4 linked regions of the Caenorhabditis elegans genome follow. The protein of the gene in region 1 purifies or fractionates together with the protein of each later gene. This does not show direct contact. Each region holds a gene or a part of one and is shown in the gene's direction. Other genes may lie near its edges. The genes, in order: thoc-2, xpb-1, Y53G8AR.6 and hel-1.

Region 1 (8,045 bases):
ACAATATAGTTGGCTGCTTTTTTCATGCCTTTAATCGTTATAGATATCTTTCTAGGGTAGTTCACAAAATGTGCCGTCGCTTTGCGCGTTTATTCTTGTTTTCTTCTGTCTCTCCGTGCTCGTTTTTCATCCTCGTCTCATTTTTTATATCTCAAAATACATTCACAGAATGATTCCTTGTATACATGCACAGAATGGCTGTTTTGTACCTACTGTTGTTTTCCCAATCTGAACCGTTTTCGCAATAGGCGACCCATTATTTTTTCTATCAACTCGTTTTTATTTTTGTTAGCTTCATCATCGTTTTTATCCACTATCTCCCATGCCTCCTCTCCCCACAACAAACACAGATCGTCTAGTAGCCTTTCTTCTCTCATTTAGGTAATTTCTTTTTATTCTTTTTTGGTTTTGAGCCCCATTTCCCTTTGAGCCCCGTCAGACCATTTTACCAGGTTCTTCTACCTTTCATATCCCCTCATCTCCACCTATCACCCCCATCTCTATCCCATTTTTTATTTCTTTTTTTCTGTAATTCCCCCTTCACTCGTTGTTGTTTTTAAGAAAACACACCCACGCCCTCTCATTCAATTATTTTATTCTTGTAATTCTTAAAATTACTTTACATTATGCGGAAAATCAATAAAAAGTAGAAATTCTTATTTCATATTTGCGTATTCTTTTCTCAATATATTATTCAGTTGGTTTTAACCATTTTCTCATGTACTGGTGATCAATCGTGTTGACGTCCACAATCGGGGACGTGGATCTGGTGACCATTTTTGGAGCCATCGGAGGCGGTGGTGGTGGTGGTGGAGCAGAAGCTGAGACTGTTGACGAGGCTGAAGGCTGTGCGATCTTTGATAGGAAGGACGGGTTGGATGCGGCCGCGTTCTGAAATTAACATGATATAAATTATAGAAAAATCTGAATAATTGTGCATTTTCTACTAAGGAATTCAATTTTTCTAGACTGAATCTGAAGATGGATCTCCAAAATTTCCGAACTAAATCAGATTGATCTGAGTATAGTTTTGTGAATTTTCAAGAAACATGATTTTTTAGTATTTCTGAAAACTTCAAAAGCCTATTTACCTGAAAATGATTCATGGCTGGAAAGATGCAAGTGGCTGTTGTCGAGTGTACAATCGGATCGCATTTCTCATAACCAAGAGATTCATAAAATCGACATTGATCATCAGTTGAGAGATATGCTTCATTGAAACCTTTTTCCGTCATCCATTTTTCTGTGGATTTCATTAAGAATTTCCCGAGTCCAAGGCCACGTTGATCCTTCTTGATCATCACTGACTCAATCCATAAGGCATGGTCACTGAAAATTAACAAATTTTGGGAGAATGGTTTGAGAATTATGATAGCTTCCTTTATTTTCAGGCTAAAATTTTTTAACTTTTTAAATATTTTTTCCTGAAATTTTAGTGAGTTATCAAATTTTCTAATTGTTGAAATATAATCCGAAAGTTTCAAATTTTTATTGTTTTATTCCAATTACTCACCGATTTGGAAGATGTGTGATTCTTGAGTGGCCTAGTATCTCGTCATTCTCCTTATTGAGCAACAAAAACGACATTGGAGGGGACTGACGGCATGATTTTTTCTGTGAATGCTCACGAGATCCATCGCTTCTGGGCCATTCCTGGAATTAGAAAAGTTCAAAATTATGAATATAGCTATTTATTTTACCAAAGAAAAAATACATTTAGAAAACCACTCTAGAATACAACTCACCGAATTCAAAAATGTCATACTCTCCTTCAAAAGATCCTGCCTATCATAAAGCGTAACAAAAAATAAGTCCGGCATCCTAATACCCGATAATTGGTTATGTTTCTGAGCTCAGATGCCCTCATCACACTCGATGGCCTAGAAATCTCAACTCTAGATTTCCCGTCCACGCGTTCTCACTCTTGTTTGCCTCGGCTGGCAAAGTGCCAACTCGCTTTAAAAAGTTTAATTTTTGAAATCTCATATTTCCTTTTAATGTTCTTTTTTTAGTTTCTGATTGAATTATTATAATTACAGAGAAATGAACGATTTCGAAACATTAACCCAGTTATGTCTCGATATTGTTCACATGAAAATCACACCGATGAAGGCTTATGAAAGGATACTCACAGAGAAGGTTTCGTTCATTTAAAATCTTGAACAAATTAGAAATCATTAATTTCAGAAAGATCGAGATGCCATCAGTTCGGAGCTGATCGACGTGTTAGTGCTCACCGAGCCGGAGAGCGAGTTCGCTGACAACGCGAGCACTTCCAAAGAGAATTTTGAATCCTTTGTGAATCTACTCACTAACACGGTAATAAAACTTTCAACTTTTAAAGCTCAAGGTTCAAAAAAGGCTTATTTATATGGAAGATAGTATTATTGGCGGAAAATAAAATTAACCTGTAGTTTCAGGATTGAAAAAAACTAATATTCTAACTTAATCCAAAATTGTTTAACAAAGAAATGAGATTTTAACTGGAAATTTCCTGTAAAAATACCAAATTTTTTTCAGATAATCCCCGAAGAAATCCTCCGCCTCGAGCTGGATTGTTTCAAAAAAGATGATCACAGCAAGGCACTAATTAGGTTGAAAACAAAAGTCTAGTAAGTTAAATTCATTCAATTTCTGCAAAAACTCATTTTTCTTCAGTTTCAAACAGGCCAAATTCAACTTATTTCGAGAAGAGTCTGAAGGTTACTCAAAACTTGTCACAGAGCTTATGGAAGCAGCCGAGAGCTCAGCGAATGAGAATGAACATGCGAAGATTCTGAAGCATCGAGTACTTTCATTAATTGGACAGTTCAATTTGGATCCAAATCGTGTCACTGACGTTATATTGGAAGTTTTCGAGAATTTCCCGAGGCAGAAGGTAAAATAAAGAATCTGCATAAATTCATGATGTTTTGGTGGTCAACCATGATGTGGGCGGAGCTTATTTGAAAGTTCAACAATAGAGAAAAATTGGAATTTATAACTTTTCCGTTTATCCTTTACAAATAAAACAATTGGAAATTCAAATGATGAGATTAAGAAATCTTGAAACGAATCCAGCTCATTTGTATTTTAAAAATATTTATTTTTAATTTCAGCTCCTTTTCATTGCACTTCTCAAAGAAATTGACGTGGTCCGTGACTATCTGTGTGCACTTCTGGGCTTCAAATTCACATTCTATCAATCGGATAAAAAGAAGAAAACGCCATATTCGTTGTACGTTCTGACAGCTTCGCTCATTCAACATGAAATGATCGATATGATGAAGATTTTAGGATATGTGAGGAGTCCCGTTTTAAATTATTCGAAATTATTAATTAATATTTATAGATGATTCCAAAAGCCGAAGCAATTAAAGAAGGGCACCGTTCAAGAATGCAGAATGCACAAGAAAGAGCATCAAAAGCAGAAACAATTTCTACAGCTTCAATGCCAATTATGGATTCAAGAGGTTTCGATGAAAATGGAATAGGTGGAAATGCGGTTAGGTCGGAAAATTGAATATTTATCTAATTTTTAAAAACATTTCAGACAACGCAAACGATTTCCTTCACTACAGTAATCCAACTTCAAGAAGACGAGGATATAAAATTATCTGAAGGGTTTAATGAGGAATATGTTCTCTCATCAAATCAGAAGCTTGGTTTAACGTGTGCATTATTAGAAAGTGGAAACTGGAAACAAGCTCAAATGCTCATTGATCGTCTCCCAGAATACTATGCAGTTCAAGCTAGTCCACGACTCTGTAGAGCTCTTTGCAAAATAATTGAGAAATCAATTAACGATTTTTACAAGAAAAATTGTTCGCTGAACTTGTTTGGAGATTTGATAAAATCGACGAAACCAGTGTTAGATGATATGGGAAATGGATTAAGACCAATCGAAAGTTGGGAAGATCTTGGAAAATTGTCAAGTGTACTTGCCTATTTGGGACCTAGAATAGCCTTTCGTGCTTCAACAAATATCAAAATTGTTCGACTTTTGACTGCCTACTACCGAAAAGTTGACAAGGATCTGCTACCGAAGGATGATAAACGTAGGTTTTTTTCAAATGTGAAATTTTGCGATTTTCGCCCCGATATTAAGGTTAACAAAACATTTTGAAAAAACGATAAAAACTAGGAAAAATTAGTTCGTATCTACAGAACTCCTTGTACTTTTGTACTTTTTTAAAATTTATGTAAATCTGTCACTTCGAGATCGAGCACCGTATTTTTGAAGAAAAAAAAACAACCATTTTCAAAATTAAATATCATTATTTCAGTAAATCAAAATTTCGTGGAAGTCGTCTCCGAATGTCTTCTACCATCTCTCACACTGTCCGAAACAAATGTTGCACTTAGTGAAGAGATTTGGCAGCTCCTTGAGCTTTTCCCGTATTCTTGGAGATATTGGATGTATTCAAAATGGAATCTTGAAACTTCAAGACATCCAGAAATGCATATAATGAAGGGGAAAATTCATGGACGAACAAAATATGTTCTGAAGCGTCTTTCGAAGGAAACTGTAAAGATGATGGGCAGACAATTGGGAAAATTGTGTCATATACATCCATCTACAGTACTCTCATATCTCCTCAGTCAAGTGCAAACTTTTGATAATTTCATTGGACCTGTTGTGGATAGTTTGAGATATTTGACAAGTCTTGAATTTGATGTTCTCACTTGTAAGTTTTCAAACAAAATTTAAAACAATTTTTTTTAGAAAACGAGAAAAAACGTCCAAAAAATTATTTTGTTAAAACCACGAAAACTGAAAGGTTTTGTAAATTTCGAACGTTTTTTTTTGAGAAATTTTAAGATTTTAACATATAAATTCATAAAAAAATTTTATGGAAAAATTGATACATTTTAAATTTTTGAGTCTTTCAGTTAGCTATGTGAAAAAATTCTCGTTTTTTTCATTCACTTGTAAACAAGTCAAACTTTTTCAAATCTATTTTAAATATTTCTCATTTGAAGGTTTTCCATTTATTCCAGATTGCATCATCTCCCAATTGGCTGATCCATCGAAACAAGCTCTCAAATCCACTGATGCTACCATCTCTCCTTGGCTGCAAGCTCTTGGAACACTGGTTGGATCTCTCTATCGAAGATATCCACTCGAACTGAACGGAATGCTAGACTATGTGCTAAATCAATTGAAACTTTGCAAAAGTTACGATATGCTTCTTCTTCGAGAAATTATCCAGAATATGTCATGGATCGAGAGTATCAGTGGAGCAACGAAAGAACAAATTGAAGCACTTGGAGGTGGAGACTTGTTGAAACAGGAAGCTGGTGGATATTCAACGGCAACAAAGAATAGAAAAGCTGCTCAACGTCTACGTGATGCACTTCTGAAAGGAGATTTGGCTGTTGGATTGGCAATTTCAGTTGCTCAACAAAAAGAGCATATTGTCTACAATGAAAGCTCTACTCTTCCATTGAAACTTGTTGGAAAAATGGTTGATCAGTGTAGTGACACATTTCAACAACTCGTTTCATTTTTGAGTGTTTATCTGAAAAATGATGATTTTTCGAAACGAGTTCCAACTGTTCGTGAATTGTTATCTGATTATTCACTTGGAATGGAAGCCACAATGTGTCTGGCGAGACCTATTTTCTTCTCAAGAATATCAGATCACTATGATGCGGCTAAAAAAATCTCGAAAGCTGCTGTTGAAGATGGACAAAAGACTCGTTTGGATACACAGCAAAAGACTGAAATGTTTACAAGTGCGTTGGAATCACAAGTGGAAATGTTAATGGATGAGCTGAAAGCATCTGAACCTGGCATGGAGGAGAATATACCTGTGAAGTGAGTTTTTATCAAATTTTCGCCCAGTTTGCTAAATTTTTCTTTCAGATTCTTCGCTGTTTTCTGGATGCTGACAATGTATGATATCGAAGTTCCGACAGCTGCATATGAACGGACACTTGATGCTTTAAAGAAACAGTCAAGAGAAGACAGTCATGTTAGTTTTCATCTATAAATAATCTACTATTTTTTATTTCAGGGAAAAGCTAAGAAAACTGATAAACAGTTGGAGAGTAAGCTTCGAGAAGAGCAGAAGAGGCAAATTGAGCACGTGGAACGTTGTAAAGTATGGCTTCTGAACAAGAAAGACTCGTTGATTGATGAGCAATTCCATAATTGTAAGTTTATGCATGAAATCCGCTTTAATACTTTTCCAATATTTCCAGCTGTATTGGAAGCTCTCATTCAACAATGCCTCCTGCCACGTGCCATATTCTCCGAACTTGATGCAGTGTTCTGTGGTCAATTCTTCATGATGCTTCACGAAATGCGGACTCCATTCTTCCCATCGGTTCTGATCATTGACAGACTCTTCGAGAACATAATTCCTCTGATCGCGGGGCTCACCGAGAACGAAGCCAACTCGCTGGCATGCTTCTTTGAAATTCTGCTCTGCACTGTTCAAAGATGGCACTCGGAGAAAGAAGTTTTCGAGAAGGAATGTGCAGGATTTCCAGGAATGATCACAAAACAAGCAATTGAATATCAAACTTTCCGAAAGTTATGCTATAGATGGCAAATTCGATTTACTGCCATGTTTAAGACAGTCTTCACAAAAGATGATGCTGACTATGTACTTATCAGAAATTCATTGATTATGATGACAAAGTTGACATCTGGATTTCCAGTCATATCACATGCAGTCGCCACAATGGAAACAGCTGTAACCAAGTTGAAGGATCGAGAGAAGGGAAAACGTGACGATCTATCATTAAAAGCAGCCTCGTATGTTGGAAAGCTCAAGATGAGAACTGTGAAGATTTATGCTCAAAATTCGGATTACGCCCCAGTTCCCAACAAGAAGGTGTCGGTCGGTGCTGAAAAACCAAAGAAAAAAGAAAAAGTGGTAGATGAGAAAGATAAAGCTGATGGGGAACCAGTTGATAAGAAGATTAAAGTAGATTCGAAGAAAAATGGGACGACGAGTTCGGAGAAAGTGGTGAAAGATGATGAAGTACATCAGAATGGAAGTGAAACAGAGAAGAAAGCTACAGTAGATAACAAAGAGAGAAAGAAGCGACCTGGAGTGAGTACATAAATTATTAAAATTCACAGAACTGAACTAACTATTATAATTTTAGAAATCATCCCACGGATCAAAAGAATCAAAGAAAGAGCCAACAACTGAAGATGGTGAAGTGAAGACTCCAAGTCCCCCTCCTGCAAAGAAGACTCGAATTGTTGATCGCTTAAAACGGTCTGATGAACCTTCAAAGAAAGATGAGAAAGAATCTCCGAAGGACACAGAATCTGAAAAAGGAGAAGGTAAGAAAAGAAGAGAACGATCGAAAGACAAAGAAACAGGAAAAGAGAAACGGTTGGAGAAGGATAATAAGGAACGAGAAAAGGATAAGGAAAGGAAGCGAGAAAATGGAGAAAACCAGAAAGAACAAAAGATTCTCAAAGATCAGAAGCAAAAAAGCAAGCCGTCCGATGAGAAGCTTGAAGTGGCAGGACCCGCGGTAAGATATTAACGTTTTCTCAAGCTATTTTCAAAATTTTCCTTTCGAAAATGTGATTTATTTCAGCTTCCCGACCCAGTTCCCAAGAAAGATGACAAGAAAGGCTCTCGAAAAGCGATTGAGTTTGATCTAGAGGAGCCTTCAAAATCAACATCGTCCTCTCGAAAAGATCGCAAAGATGATCGAAAAGAAAAAAAAGAAGAACTTCCAAAGGCATCAAGAATAGCAGAGCCTGCACGTGATGCTGGAAAGAGTGGAAGAGATCGTGGGCATCGAACATTTAGATGAGCTCTCACCACATATCCCCAGATTTTCATTATTGTATCTCAGTTTATGTTGTCTACGAGGTTTTCTATTGTATCCTGATGGATTATTAAATATTCGTTTTATTTTTTGTTAGCATTAAATCTAAAGACATTGGATCGTTGAACTTCTTGGAATGTGAAAGCAATGGAAGTATTTCGAATATAGAATGCTTGCTCGAAGAGTCAATCCAAAAGTCGAAGATCAAGTGCTAAATGTGAGCAAAAGACAACGTCAAATTTCCGAACGACTTCCAATCT
Region 2 (4,782 bases), 5.2 Mb from region 1:
TATGCGGCACCTCACGAACTCCAAAATTCGCGGGAATTCGTTTCGCGGGGACAGCAGTTTTTGGCTGTTTTTGGCTTCTATAGGAAATTATTTTTGATTTTTTGTTTTATAATATTCTTGAGAAGCATCATCCGAATTTAAAATGTGTGAAATTATGAAATTTGACCGAAAACTGAAGGTTTTACAGGAAGGATTCGCTACGGCTTTCTTTAAAATGTATCAGAATCGTCAGTTTTTCGATTTCAGTCGTAAAATATGCCATTTTGTAGAGAAAAGTCTGTTTCACAAAAATCCATGTTTGACATTTCAAAATTGTTTTTATTTAAAACCTGAAAAATCGAAAAAATAAGCTTTTAAAGGTGGAGTAGCGCCAGTGGGGAAATTGCTTTAAAACACGCATATGGTACCACAATGACCGAATATCATGATAAAAATTTTTTCTAGATTTTATATGATTTTTTGAAAATTGAAAAAATCTCAGTTTTGCCTAATTCCTATTTGAATTACCGCCAATTGGATTTGTTCGATGGAGCGCGCTTGCACGTTTTTATTTTTATTTATTGTTATTTTTTCTTATTTTTCACCGACTTTTCATGTTTTCAGTGTATTTTTGTCTGAAATTTGAAGAAAAAGTCAAAATAAATGCTATTTTTTGAAATTAATTAATTCGGGTTCGAAATCGCTTAAATGCATTTTTTTAATTTAACGCCTGTAAGCGTGCTGTTTAATCGAAAATTAGCATTTATTTTGACTTTTTCTTCAAATTTCAGACAAAAATACACTGAAAACATGAAAAGTCGGTGAAAAATAAGAAAAAATAACAATAAATAAAAATAAAAACGTGCAAGCGCGCTCCATCGAACAAATCCAATTGGCGGTAATTCAAATAGGAATTAGGCAAAACTGAGATTTTTTCAATTTTCAAAAAATCATATAAAATCTAGAAAAAATTTTTATCATGATATTCGGTCATTGTGGTACCATATGCGTGTTTTAAAGCAATTTCCCCACTGGCGCTACTCCACCTTTAAAAGCTTATTTTTTCGATTTTTCAGGTTTTAAATAAAAACAATTTTGAAATGTCAAACATGGATTTTTGTGAAACAGACTTTTCTCTACAAAATGGCATATTTTACGACTGAAATCGAAAAACTGACGATTCTGATACATTTTAAAGAAAGCCGTAGCGAATCCTTCCTGTAAAACCTTCAGTTTTCGGTCAAATTTCATAATTTCACACATTTTAAATTCGGATGATGCTTCTCAAGAATATTATAAAACAAAAAAATAAAAATAATTTCCTATAGAAGCCAAAAACTGCTGTCCCCGCGAAACGAGTTCCCGCGAATTCTGGAGTTCGTGAGGTGCCGCGAGAGATCGCGTTCTAATAATTATGAACAATTTTTTTGTTAATTTCAGCCATTTCAGCCGTCGAAACAGTCCACGAAACTATAAAAATCGAGTCTCGCCGCACCGTGGCCTGCGAAGGAAATGTCTATTTCGAAGAAACGAACGTCATTCAATTTCCCAAAAATCTGCCGCCCAACGTACACGTGATCACCGCCGCCCAATATGGATCGAATTAAATGTTTATTTATAAATATTCGTTTTTTTTTTTGTTTTTTGTTTTATTATGAAAGTCTAGTGAAAAGAACTAGCTGTTTTATAAATTTATATGTCTCCCCTCTGGCTCCTCTCCTGTGTCTGCATATTGTCGTGAATTTCGCTGTATTTGCGTACTTTTTCTCCCCCGGTTTTCTTCCTTTTTTTTCGTATTTTAGACGAATTTTCAATTTTCCAAAAGAAATGGCGACGAAAGAGCGAAAACGACGCGGAAAATGGGATACCTACAAAGCAGAAGAAGCTCCATCATTGTATTCTGGAAATGCTGACAAGGAAACTAGTTCTGGTAACGCGGGGCTCTTTTCCTGGAAATTTTCGAATTAAAAAATTAAATTTTTAGTTCCAAAAGCTGCCTCGCACAATTTGAACGGAGAAAATGCGTCGTCAGTGATGACTGATGAGTTTGGAGCCAAAGATTATCGAAAGGATATGCCATTGAAAGTATGGAGAAGCTCTAAAAATTCGAAAAAATGGTCTGACAAGCTTGAAAAACCCAGAAAAATGGCAATTTTTACAATTTTTTGGCAAAAAAACCCTAATTTTCATGATTTTTTCACCCAATTTTCAGTAAATTAACGATTTTTCCCCCGAAATATCGAAAATTTGGTTAATTTCCAGGGAAAATCGTAAAAATTACTTTATTCTAAAATAATTTCGGTCTGAAAAATGTAAAAAGTTACGAATTTTTGCTATTTTTTTTTGTTTTTTTCGGTCAAAAAATCGTTAAAAAACACTTTTTTTCGAGTTTTTCAACCCAAATTGGCAAATTTTAATTGAAAATTCACAATTTTCAGGGTGATTTCACTGCAAGACCGCTGTGGGTTGCTCCGGATGGTCATATTTTCCTCGAGTCGTTCAGCCCGGTTTACAAGCACGCCAGGGACTTTTTAATTGCAATTTCAGAGGTTATTAACGTCTTTTTTCAGTTAATTCTGAAAAAAATTCATTTAAAAAAATTTGATTCATCTGAAAAGATTTATTTGTAAAAATTATGTTTGGCCAATTTTTTTTTGATTTTTTAATTTTTTTTTCCGTAAAAAATTCCAAATTAGTGCTTTTCAGGTCAATTTTAGAGGTTCAGCACTTTTTTTTCATGGAAAATGACTGAAAATTTGAGCCTAAAATTAACAAATATTAAATTTTTCCAAAAAAAAAAAATCGAAATTCTGATTTTTCAATTTTTCGATTATCTCTTACACATATTGCCAGAATTGAAAATTTCCGACAAATCGTCAAAGTGTCGGGATTTAAATTTTCCGGCAAATCGGCAACTTGCCGGAATTGAAAATTTCCGGCAAATCGGCAAATTGCCGGTATTGAAAGTTTCCGGCAAATCTGCAAATTGCCAGAATTGAAAGTTTCCGGCAAATCGACAAATTGCCGGAGTTTAAAATTCCGGCAAATCGGCAAATTGCCGGATTTGAAATTTTCCGGCAAATCTGCAAATTGCCAGAATTGAAAGTTTCCGGCAAATCGACAAATTGGTGGAATTGAAATTTTCCGGCAAATCTGCAAATTGGTGGAATTGAAATTTTTTGGCAAATCGGCAAATTGCCGGAATTGAAAGTTTCCGGCAAATTGACAAATTGCCGGAGTTTAAAATTCCGGCAAATCGGCAAATTGCCGGAATTGAACGTGTCTTGTAAATAGCTGATTTGCCGAATTTGACATTTCCGGCAAATCGTCAAAGTGCCGGATTTAAAAAGTCCGGCAAATTGCAGAATTTATCGAGAAAAAAATTTGCCGAACTGCAATCGCCACCCATCCCTGCTACATATTCCAATTTTCAGCCCGTCTGCCGTCCACAACACATCCACGAATACCAGCTAACTGCCTATTCTCTCTACGCAGCTGTATCAGTTGGCCTACAAACAAAAGATATCATTGAATACCTGGAACGATTAAGTAAAAGTCAACTGCCAAAAGGAGTCATCACATTCGTTCAAATGTGCACTGTGAGCTACGGAAAGGTTAAGCTTGTGCTCAAGCATAACAGATACTTTGTCGAATCGCGACATTCCGATGTTATGCAGAAGCTTCTCAAGGACTCTGTGATCCAGTCGTGTATTCTAGATGATCGTGTGCAACCTGCTCAGCAAACCGAGCTTCCTGCACAGGAAAAAATCAAATTCTCACATGGAAATGAGAATGAGAAGGGTGTGGAAAAGGATGGAGCAGCAGCAGACGGTACGGCGGCGGCGGCGACAGATGGAAAAGTTCCAGCTGATATTGATGAATTCTACGGGAAAATCGATGGAGATGATGAGGAAGACGCAGAGATTCGAAATTTGCAACTTCTAACGTTTGAGATCAAACAAGAAACGATCGAAACAGTGCAAAAACGATGTATCGAGCTTGAGTATCCACTGCTCGCCGAGTACGACTTCAGAAATGACACTTTGAATCCGAACCTTGGAATTGATCTGAAACCATCGACTACACTTCGTCCGTACCAGGAGAAATCCCTACGGAAAATGTTTGGAAATAGTCGTGCGAGAAGTGGTGTGATTGTTCTGCCGTGTGGAGCCGGAAAGACGCTTGTCGGAGTGACTGCTGTGACGACGGTTAACAAGAGATGTTTAGTGTTGGCGAATTCCAATGTTTCTGTCGAACAGTGGAGGGCTCAGTTTAAGCTTTGGAGCACGATTCAGGATAAACAGCTTGTCAGGTTTACTAGAGAGGCGAAGGATCCAGCACCGTCGGGAGCCGATGCGACCAAGGTTGGAGTGGAAGGAGTGGAAAAATAATGAAGAATTTTAGAGGAAAATCTGAAAAAAATTGAAAAATTTTCGACTTTTAGATTTTCTGAAAAATCGAAAAATTAACCATAAAAAATAATTGATGAGAAAAAAATTAAAATTTTTTCAAAAAATGAAGAAAATTTCGAGCTAATTTTTGAAAAATCGAGAATTTTCGATTTTTCGATTTTTGAATAATCGGGAATTTTCGATTTTCAATTTTTTGAAAAATCGGGAATTTTCGATTTTTCAATTTTTTGAAAAATCGAGAATTTTCTATTTTTCGATTTTTTGAATAATCGGGAATTTTCGATTTTTCAATTTTTTGAAAAATCGAGAATTTTCGATTTTTCGATTTCAATTTTTTGAAAAATCGAAAAACCGACACCCTTGGTCAGAGTGCCTCATTTCGGTTTGGTCT
Region 3 (4,916 bases), 3.1 Mb from region 1:
TTTTAGCATTTAAAATGTGCATTTTCGAAAAACTAACAAAATCGAATTCCCCGCCTAATTTTAGCCCTAAACGCTTTTTTTCTGAAGTTATAGCGTAAAATTGGAATTTCCGGGGGTACTGTAGCTCCAAAAGTACGCAAACACCAGATCTGACGACAAAATGCAGAAAATTGGGAAAATCACGTTTTTTGGGGTGCAAAATGACGAGAAACTCGATTTTCCACTCAAAATTGTGCAAAAAACTTTAAAAATGGAGAAAAATAACAAAATTTTGAAAAAAAAAGAGAAATAATCCTTTTTCCGATTAATTTTTCTGAAAAATGATTCGAAAATCGAATTTCCTGCCAATTTCTACACCTGAAAGCTTTTTTCTGAAGTTTTAGCGCAAAATTGGAATGTCCGGGGGTACTGTAGCTCCAAAAGTACGCAAACACCGCAACACACCAGATCTGACGACAAACTGCGGAAAAATGAGAAAAACTAGCTTTTGGGGGGTGAAAAACGACGGGAAATCTGAATTTTAAACAGGAATCTCCCAAAAACTGACAATTTCACCAGAAAATTCACTTGTAGGAGTACGGTAGCCGCGAAAATACGCAAACACCAGATCTCACGACAAAATGCAGAAAATCCCGAAAAAACGGGTTTTCGGGGTGAAAAATGACGGGGAATTTGAATTTTAGGGTGGAAATTGTCTAGAAACCCAAGAAAAAAGTGAAAACCCGCAGAGAAACCGAGTTTTTTAGTATTTTTTCGGGGAAAACCCAATTTTTTCGCAATTTCCTCTTAGTTTTCTTTTTTTTAGCTCACATTCCACTTATCCTTCTTATACCAATTATCATCGCCGACAAACTTCACCGCCGCACCTCTGTGTACCAGAAAATGAGCCGCCGCCAGGTCGGGCCCGAGGAAAAGTAGTCTTTCGGGGATTACTCTGCAAAAAAATGGGGTTTTCAAGGTTTTAAATAGCATTTTTTAGGGTATTTTTCTTGAAAAATCAATAAAAATCAATAAAAAATCGCCTCTGATCATATTGCATATGCTGAAACTTTTTATATCTCCGATATCGTTTAATATTATCGATTGAATGATCTACGTAGCGCATTTGTGTGTGCCACGTCAGCAGCTCCATCGGCAACTGTCCAGTATCCTTCCGTGTCATGTCTGCTGGCGCTTTTTTGGGATTTACTGGAAAAAAACCAATTTTTTCCGGTAATTTTCAGTAAAAATCGATTTTTTTCCCAATTAACAACCCACAATCATCGGGTCTTTCCGGTGTAATATACAGTCCCGTCGGTAATCGAATAAAATTCTTATTCCTCTGCTTTTCCTGCACATTTTCCACATGTGCCGCCTGCATTTCCTGCCACCGCTTGAATCTCGACCATTTATGTACCCATCCGTTCGATTTTACACTTGTTCTGAAGCTTCGCGCGGTGCAATAGACCCGGTTCATGCTGAAAATGTCGAAAATTTCGAGAAAATCCGTGGAAAACTGATTATTTTGAGCAAATTTGAGCAAAAATGAAAAAAAAAGAATTATTTTTAAAGGCGCATAGGATTAAATGGGCTGTGGGTCTCGATGGGACCGGTGGAGAGAGTGTGTAAAGGAGAGAGACGCAGACATTGCAAATCTTTATTTTAAATTTATTAAACAAAAATTAATGATTTCGCTTGTTTTCGTGCGATTTTTTTGGTTTTTCTGTTGAAAAATGAATGAAAATTGCATTTTTTGGGTTAAAAATGTTGATTTTCAGCTAAAAATCCGCTAGAAACCGTCTAAAAACCTGTAAAGCCTACGCTATTGATTTTTTCGCGGGATTCTCCCAATTTTTCCCGCGTTTTCTTATTTAAAATTGTTCAAATTGCAGATAAAAAATGGTTCTTAGCGTCGCCGATGCCAAGAAATTGACAGTTCCACGTCTGAAGGAGGAACTCGCCAGCCGTGGGCTCGATAACACCGGAAACAAGCCGGAGCTGTTGGCAAGGCTCACAGAAAGCATTGAGCAGGTTGGAAAAGAAGGAAAATTTGGGAATTTTGATGAAAAAATAGCGAAAAATCCAAATTTTTTGGAAAAAAAGCAAAAAAAAAAATTTTTTCTTTTTTTAATTTAAATTTTTTAATTTTCCAGGCAGCCGACGAGCTTCTGGGCGACGCTGGAATCACATCTGACACTCATTTATTATCAGATGATATTCTAAATGATGATATTCTCGATGCTCCGAGTGTTGGAGACGAATCTGAAGCTGATAAGCTTCTGGGATCAGTTGACGGAGCAGAAGAGCACAAAACAGATAAATCCGAGGGAGAAGAGAAGCATGAAGTTCATTTAATTGATAAGAAAATCGATGAAGTTACTGCAGAAACTGATAAAAGAGCCCGTGCCATACGATTTGGGCTCCCCGTCACTGCTGAAGACCTCGGCTCGGATGGAGCTAAGGCTGCCAGGGCTAAGAGGTTGAAAATCTATCAATTTTTGGCTTAAAAATGCTGAAAAACGATGCATTTTGTGGAAAATCTGACGTGTTCAGCTTAAAAACTGGAAAAATGGGATTTTTGCCCTCAATTCTCACTAAAAATTATATTTTTAAAGTTTTTCGCACGAAAATTTGCTGTAAAATCCTTTTTTTTCACTCAAAAACTTGTAAATTCGCATTTTTACAAATTTTTCTCCCAAAAAACCTCTAAAACGCAATTTCCAGCCATATTTACACTAAAATTTTTAGAATTTTGAGATTTTTGAATTTCCCACTGATAAAAATGCCAAAAACTCCAATTTTAACTACAACAAACGTGAAAAATCCTAATTTTTCACTGTAAAAATGAAAAAAAAAAGAAAAAAAAATGCCAAAAATCCCGAGTTTTACTTAAAAAGCACTAAAAATCTTCATTTTTCACTGAAAAATGCCAAAAAATCTCAATTTTCACCTTAAAAACACCAAAAATCCTGATTTCCTGTATAAAAAATGCCAGAAAAATCCGATTTTCACCACAAAAAAGTCGAAAAATCTCATTTTTTCGCTTAAAAACCATCAAAAAGTCCAAAAAAATTTTCTATCAAAAATGCCTTAAATTACAAATTTTCCAACCTGAAATGCAATTTTTCACTTAAAAAGCCTAAATTTCTGACTCTGTAATACAAAAAATGCCAAAAAATCTCAATTTTCACCTAAAAACTCTCCAGAACCCCCGTTTTTCACTTAAAAACACCTAAATTTCTAACTTTCTGACCCAAAAATTGCCAAAAATCCCAAAAAAAAATCCCAATTTTCACCTAAAAACTCTCCAAAAACCCCGTTTTTCACTTAAAAACACCTAAATTTCTAACTTTCTGACCCAAAAATTGCCAAAAATCCCAAAAAAAATCCCAATTTTCACCTTAAAACTCCTCCAAAACCCAAATTTTTTGCAGATTTGATCTCCCAGAAGACTCAAAACGACTAACATCAAATGACGCGAAGGCTTCACGTGCTGAAAGATTCGGAATTACCCCAAAAACGCCTGCCGCTGATGATAAGCTGGCCGCCCGTGCCGCCCGTTTTGGAATTCCAGTTGGTGGAGCAGCTTCAGCTTCAGCTTCGAAAAATGCTCCAAATTCTGAGGGAAAAGCTGCAAAATTGGCTGCTCGAGCCAAACGATTCGGTGGTGAAATTGATGATGAGGAGATGGAAGCAAAGAAAAAAGCAAGAATGGAACGATTTGGAACATCTAATTAATTTTCTGATTTTTGTGCATTTTTTACTTTTTTTTTTTGGGAAAATTGAGAAAAAATGAGATTTTTGAGCTAAATTTTTGAATTTTTTGGCGAAAAATGAGCTGAAACCCAATTTTTTGCTGAAAAAACTGAAAAATTCTGTAAAAATTAACATTTTTGACCAAAGTACCCCAAGAAATTCAAAATTTCATTAAAATATATGAAAATTGCTGAGATTTTGCAACTTTCACTGAAAAATTTAAATTTTCCCCCAAAATTTTAGATTTTTATCGAAAAAAAATCGTTTTCCTCTCGAATTTGTGATTTTTCTAGAAAATTTCGACTCTGGCTAAATTTTGCGATTTTTCCGTCAAAATTTTAGATTTTTTGCCGAAAAAAAAATTAAATTTTAACGAAATTTGATTATTTTCTCGAGTTTTCCTTGAAAAAAATCACTTTTCCCTAATTTTCGTGAAAATTTATGAAAAAATCACTTTTTTCCCTAAAAAATTTCCCATTTTCCTCGATTTTCGTGTGTTTTTCCCCGAAAAAAATTATATTTTTTATTTATTTTTTCAATTTTTTAACCCAAAACTTGTTGTTTTATTCTTATTTTCCCTCTAACTTTTTGTTTTTTCCCAATTTCTCCATGAAAAATCTGGATTTCCAGTATAATTACAGCTTTTTTGTGTAATTTTTAGAGTTTTGAGTTTTTTGTTGTGTGATCGATCACATACCTGAAATTTTGGATTTTAAGCTGAATTTTTAGAACGAAAATTTGAAAAAATTGAGAATTTTCACTGAAAAACCACGAAAATTTTTGAATTTTTCACAAAAAATCAAATTTTTAGTGAAAAACTCGACTCTTTTCCCCAAATTTTCAGCCAAAATGGAGTCTGCAGACGGTGAAATTGAAGCCCTATGCAGTATTTGGGATGGAGTCCACGTGGAGTCCAAATTAGAAGCTTCTCGGCGATATTTAAAGCATAAAATTAAATCATTGGAAGATGAATCCACGTCTGCATCGGTTTTAATTGAAATGACCGTCTCTGAAGGGGTAAAAATTGGAGTTTTTTAGTGTTTTCGGGTGAAAAATTCAAATTCCCCGTCATTTTTCACCCCGAAAACCCGTTTTTTCGGGATTTTCTGCATTTTGTCGTGAGATCTGGTGTTTGCGTATTTTCGCGGCTACCGTACCCCTAAAAGTGAAGTTTCTGGTGA
Region 4 (4,151 bases), on another chromosome or scaffold:
AACATTCTAAAAAAGTTTTTTCAGACAACGTTTTGACAAATTCCCAAATTTTCAAATGTATTGGCTTTTTGAATAATCTTGAGCATTGATGCAGGTTTTAACCCAGAAGTGTTCTAAAACATGTTTAAAACATACAGTTGAAACGCAATAAATATTAAGCTCGTAGAAATTATTATTTTTTGGTCGGCATCCAAAATTGTGAATGGCGAAAACTCTATTATCATCACTTTTTGACTAAAAATGGAAAATTTCAACACGTTTTAAGATGTTTTACTACACGCCACCGTAAATATTGAAACTTGAGACAAAAAATGTATTTATGCCTATTTCATTGTACAATTATAATTACAGCTATTTCTCAATGTCCAAGAAATTAATTATAATTTTTATTCTACTATTTTATCGAAATAATAAAAAGTACTCACCACCAAAACAATTAACACGTTCACGTCTTGCAAGACGGATTCTGTGAGTACTGTCAAATTATTCCTGTAGCATAGCCTTTCAGCAGTTCTTATTAATGCATTCAATGCACTTCCACAAGATCCTATATCTTCTGATGCATCATTTACTACAAGTATTTCTTCGCAATTCGGAAAGGCGATATTTTGGAAATGTCGTATATCTATAATACGAGTGTGTCTGTAGTTTATATCGTATGAAAATTGAACCTGAATCAATACTACTTGGCTCTATATTGAACCCTAATGAAAATGTGACAATGTCCCAACGCATTTGATAGAGAAAAAGAGTGTAAGAGAGCAAGGAGAATACGACTAGCACTGGTGTATTCCACGTGGTAAAGAGATGGAGACGCAGAAAATGTATAGATGTGAAAAAGATAGTAGAAAACTGGTTTAATATTATTCAAACACAACAAAATGTATAAACATCATACAGTATAATAATAATCTAATCAAAATAATCATCGAGATCAACTCCCGGCTCCAAGAATGTTTCTGAAATGCCTTCTAGATCTGTTTTGTTGAGAATCAGATTTTCGAGTGTCTCCTCCATGTCAGTTTCGCCAATTAGAAGGGCACCGACAATCTTATTTTTGACGACTACACATCGAACGAGTTGATCGTTATCGGCGTCTCTGAATATTAGAGCATGTTTCATTGTAATCTAAAAAGTGTACAGTACCTCAATACAATCTTCCATTCTCCTTCCACCTGTCTCTCTGGTTTGTAGTCTCCAAGAAACACCACCTGAAAGAACATTTGTTTTTCTATGATTCTTTGCACACATCTATCTTTCGGATCGTTTCGCTACTAATATTGTCTTGTGCACTGGACAGCTGTTTACAGCCACATTCCCCCTCTCGTATTTGAACACCCGCCCATTGCTAATTACTTCGCTGCGAGACCATACGAAGCGACGCGTTGCGTGTGCGTCGCGCGTCGAAAATATTCGAATGGGTATCGTTTCGCGGTTTATTCTTCATGAGGAGCAACCGCTCTGCATTTTCCTGTTTTGATCTGTTTTTGTGAGGTTATTTACTAAATTTCTTTTGATTGTTCTATTTGTGACTTTCTCTAATAGGTTAAACACTATTCTCTATTTTCTTCGTGAAATTAGGATTAATCTCAAGCCCCTTTTTATGAAGACCTTTATTTTTTTTTGTTTCAGAATGGAAGAGGAACAACTTCTTGACTACGAAGAGGAGCAGGAGGAGATCCAAGACAAGCAGCCAGAAGTTGGCGGAGGCGATGCCAGAAAAACTAAAGGAACGTATGCTTCTATTCATTCTTCCGGATTTCGTGACTTCCTCTTGAAGCCAGAAATTCTTCGTGCCATCGGAGACTGCGGTTTCGAACATCCATCGGAAGTACAACATGAGTGCATTCCTCAAGCCATTCTTGGAATGGACGTTGTCTGCCAAGCGAAGTCCGGTATGGGTAAAACCGCTGTTTTTGTAATCACCACTCTTCAACAACTGGAGCCAGTGGATGGCGAGGTAAACAGTAATACATCAAATTTCAATAAATCATTGTTTTCAGGTATCTGTTGTTTGCATGTGCCACACTCGCGAGTTGGCATTCCAAATTTCCAAGGAGTATGAGAGATTTAGCAAATATCTCCCAGGAGTCAAGGTAGCTGTCTTTTTCGGTGGAATGGCCATCAAGAAAGATGAGGAACGCCTTGCCAATGACTGTCCACACATTGTTGTTGGAACTCCAGGAAGAATGTTGGCTCTGGCTCGTTCTGGCAAGCTGAAGCTTGACAAAGTCAAGTACTTCGTCCTGGACGAGTGCGACAAGATGATCGGAGATGCTGGTAAGAAATACTTGTAAATATAGGAATCATTATTGAACTTTTTCAGATATGCGTCGGGATGTTCAAGAAATCGTCAAGATGACTCCACAACAGAAGCAAGTGATGATGTTCTCCGCCACATTGCCAAAGGAGCTTCGCACTGTTTGCAAGCGATTCATGCAAGACGTACGCTTTATCTCTGATCCGGAACCTACGGAACCGCTGTTCACTTTTTTGAAACAAAAAACATGTATCAAACCAAAATGCTAGTCATGTGTGTTCCGTGATGCGAAAGAGATGGCCAGAACTTGGTTGGTCGTTAATTCCGAAGTCGCTTTTTGATTTCTCGGATTTCAGATCTCATCTTGTTAAGCCTCTCGCCACGCAGAAGCCATCGTCCTCGGGGGAGGTAGCTGGCTCGCCTCAGCGAAGCTGATTGCTAATAGGTCGAAAGACTTGTCGGGAACACGTGACATGTACTGCAAAACACGTTCCAGCCCCCGATTCATCACCGTGCTGCCGTTCTAGACCTTAAAACATTTTTTCAGCCAATGGAAGTCTACGTCGACGACGAAGCCAAGCTCACTCTGCACGGACTTCAGCAACATTACGTCAAACTGAAGGAAGCCGAGAAGAACCGTCGTTTGCTGAATCTTCTCGATGCACTCGAGTTCAACCAAGTCGTCATTTTCGTCAAGGCCGTAAAACGTTGCGAAGCTCTCCACCAGCTCCTCACAGAACAAAATTTCCCATCAATTGCCATTCATCGTCAAATGGCTCAAGAAGAGCGACTTTCAAGATACCAAGCATTCAAAGACTTCCAAAAGAGAATCTTGGTGGCCACCGATTTGTTTGGACGTGGAATGGATATCGAAAGAGTCAACATCGTGTTCAACTACGACATGCCAGAAGATTCCGACTCGTATCTTCACAGAGTTGCACGTGCTGGTCGTTTTGGAACCAAGGGTTTGGCCATCACTTTCGTTTCTGATGAGAATGACGCCAAGACCTTGAACAGCGTTCAAGACCGCTTCGATATCAGCATCACTGAGCTCCCAGAAAAGATCGATGTCTCTACCTACAGTGAGTTTATATATACCAACGCCCATTCAAAAATTCTTATTTTCAGTCGAAGGCCGAACCAATTGATTCCATGTACCCTCCTATGCATTCAACTAAATATGAGTTCCACCTTCGTTTTACCCGGCATTGTGCTGATGGAGTAAAATGCCTATTGTTTCCCCTAAATTATCGACCTCTGTTTCTTGTGGTCTCATTTACCAATTTTCGTTATCGTTAACAGTTTCCAACTACACGCAAAAAAATTTGACTGTATTATTTATTTTTCTTTTTTCATGAGTGTTTGGAAATAAAATTCGACAATTACCATGCAAATTGTTATTTATCTCACCTTTAACCCGAAAAAAGTCGTACAATGCGAGAACAGTTCGAAATACATATTCTGCATACGAGCCTCTTCGACGCCTGCCACCATCGCTCTTCCACACACTTCTCCTTGCTGACGTGCTTGTGTCCACAATTGTCTCTTAAAATATTTCAACTTTATTTAACACTCAATCTATGGTTATAAAACTTGTTGCCAAAGAGTTGATGGTTCTGTGGTAGTCAGTGCACAAACATCTCCACATGCAAAAACATTAGGAAGTGAGGTTTCGCAAGCGTCGTTGACTTTAATTCCACTATTTTCAGTGATTTGGAGCATTTTATTCATAGCCCAGACTTCTGAGTTGGCAGTTACACCTCCTGCCCAAATAAAAATATCTGGATTGAGCTGGTTATCTGCCTTAATAAAATAACTAGGCTTAATGGTACGATAACTTAAAATGATACCATCTTTTCTTTATCCATGTAATGTACCGACAAATTTTGGG

The links.
Region 2: the proteins of thoc-2 (region 1) and xpb-1 fractionate together in Caenorhabditis elegans (co-fractionation; one large-scale study listed by BioGRID). This does not show direct contact.
Region 3: the proteins of thoc-2 (region 1) and Y53G8AR.6 fractionate together in Caenorhabditis elegans (co-fractionation; one large-scale study listed by BioGRID). This does not show direct contact.
Region 4: the proteins of thoc-2 (region 1) and hel-1 fractionate together in Caenorhabditis elegans (co-fractionation; one large-scale study listed by BioGRID). This does not show direct contact.

What each region holds. Positions count from the first base shown.
Region 1 is NC_003281.10:6,366,003-6,374,047, forward strand, and holds thoc-2 (THO complex subunit 2), read left to right. Parts: upstream 1-2,039; 5' UTR 2,040-2,043; coding exon 2,044-2,139; intron 2,140-2,187; coding exon 2,188-2,319; intron 2,320-2,520; coding exon 2,521-2,612; intron 2,613-2,658; coding exon 2,659-2,878; intron 2,879-3,098; coding exon 3,099-3,281; intron 3,282-3,331; coding exon 3,332-3,484; intron 3,485-3,532; coding exon 3,533-4,037; intron 4,038-4,265; coding exon 4,266-4,667; intron 4,668-4,980; coding exon 4,981-5,800; intron 5,801-5,848; coding exon 5,849-5,957; intron 5,958-5,999; coding exon 6,000-6,138; intron 6,139-6,186; coding exon 6,187-7,046; intron 7,047-7,101; coding exon 7,102-7,482; intron 7,483-7,548; coding exon 7,549-7,770; 3' UTR 7,771-7,902; downstream 7,903-8,045. Other genes in the region: C56G2.15 (N-acetyltransferase domain-containing protein), read right to left, coding at 691-891, 1,092-1,329, 1,514-1,653, 1,746-1,820.
Region 2 is NC_003281.10:11,524,876-11,529,657, forward strand, and holds the start of xpb-1 (General transcription and DNA repair factor IIH helicase/translocase subunit XPB), read left to right. Parts: upstream 1-1,781; 5' UTR 1,782-1,806; coding exon 1,807-1,909; intron 1,910-1,963; coding exon 1,964-2,064; intron 2,065-2,417; coding exon 2,418-2,528; intron 2,529-3,413; coding exon 3,414-4,343; intron 4,344-4,782. Other genes in the region: Y66D12A.16 (Spen family transcriptional repressor), read left to right, coding at 1,420-1,586.
Region 3 is NC_003281.10:3,292,874-3,297,789, forward strand, and holds Y53G8AR.6 (SAP domain-containing protein), read left to right. Parts: upstream 1-1,869; 5' UTR 1,870-1,878; coding exon 1,879-2,010; intron 2,011-2,132; coding exon 2,133-2,458; intron 2,459-3,413; coding exon 3,414-3,717; 3' UTR 3,718-4,375; downstream 4,376-4,916. Other genes in the region: Y53G8AR.8 (ATP synthase subunit s-like protein), read right to left, coding at 811-934, 1,023-1,188, 1,258-1,456; Y53G8AR.5 (RING-type domain-containing protein), read left to right, coding at 4,585-4,752.
Region 4 is NC_003280.10:8,326,352-8,330,502, reverse strand, and holds hel-1 (Spliceosome RNA helicase DDX39B homolog), read left to right. Parts: upstream 1-1,632; 5' UTR 1,633-1,633; coding exon 1,634-1,960; intron 1,961-2,003; coding exon 2,004-2,280; intron 2,281-2,326; coding exon 2,327-2,445; exon of another isoform or gene 2,446-2,570; intron 2,571-2,616; exon of another isoform or gene 2,617-2,807; coding exon 2,808-3,342; intron 3,343-3,388; coding exon 3,389-3,408; 3' UTR 3,409-3,651; downstream 3,652-4,151. Other genes in the region: C26D10.4 (GHMP kinase N-terminal domain-containing protein), read right to left, coding at 426-625, 672-735; C26D10.3 (Pyridine nucleotide-disulfide oxidoreductase domain-containing protein 1), read right to left, coding at 913-1,099, 1,147-1,211, 3,671-3,805, 3,854-4,063, 4,111-4,151.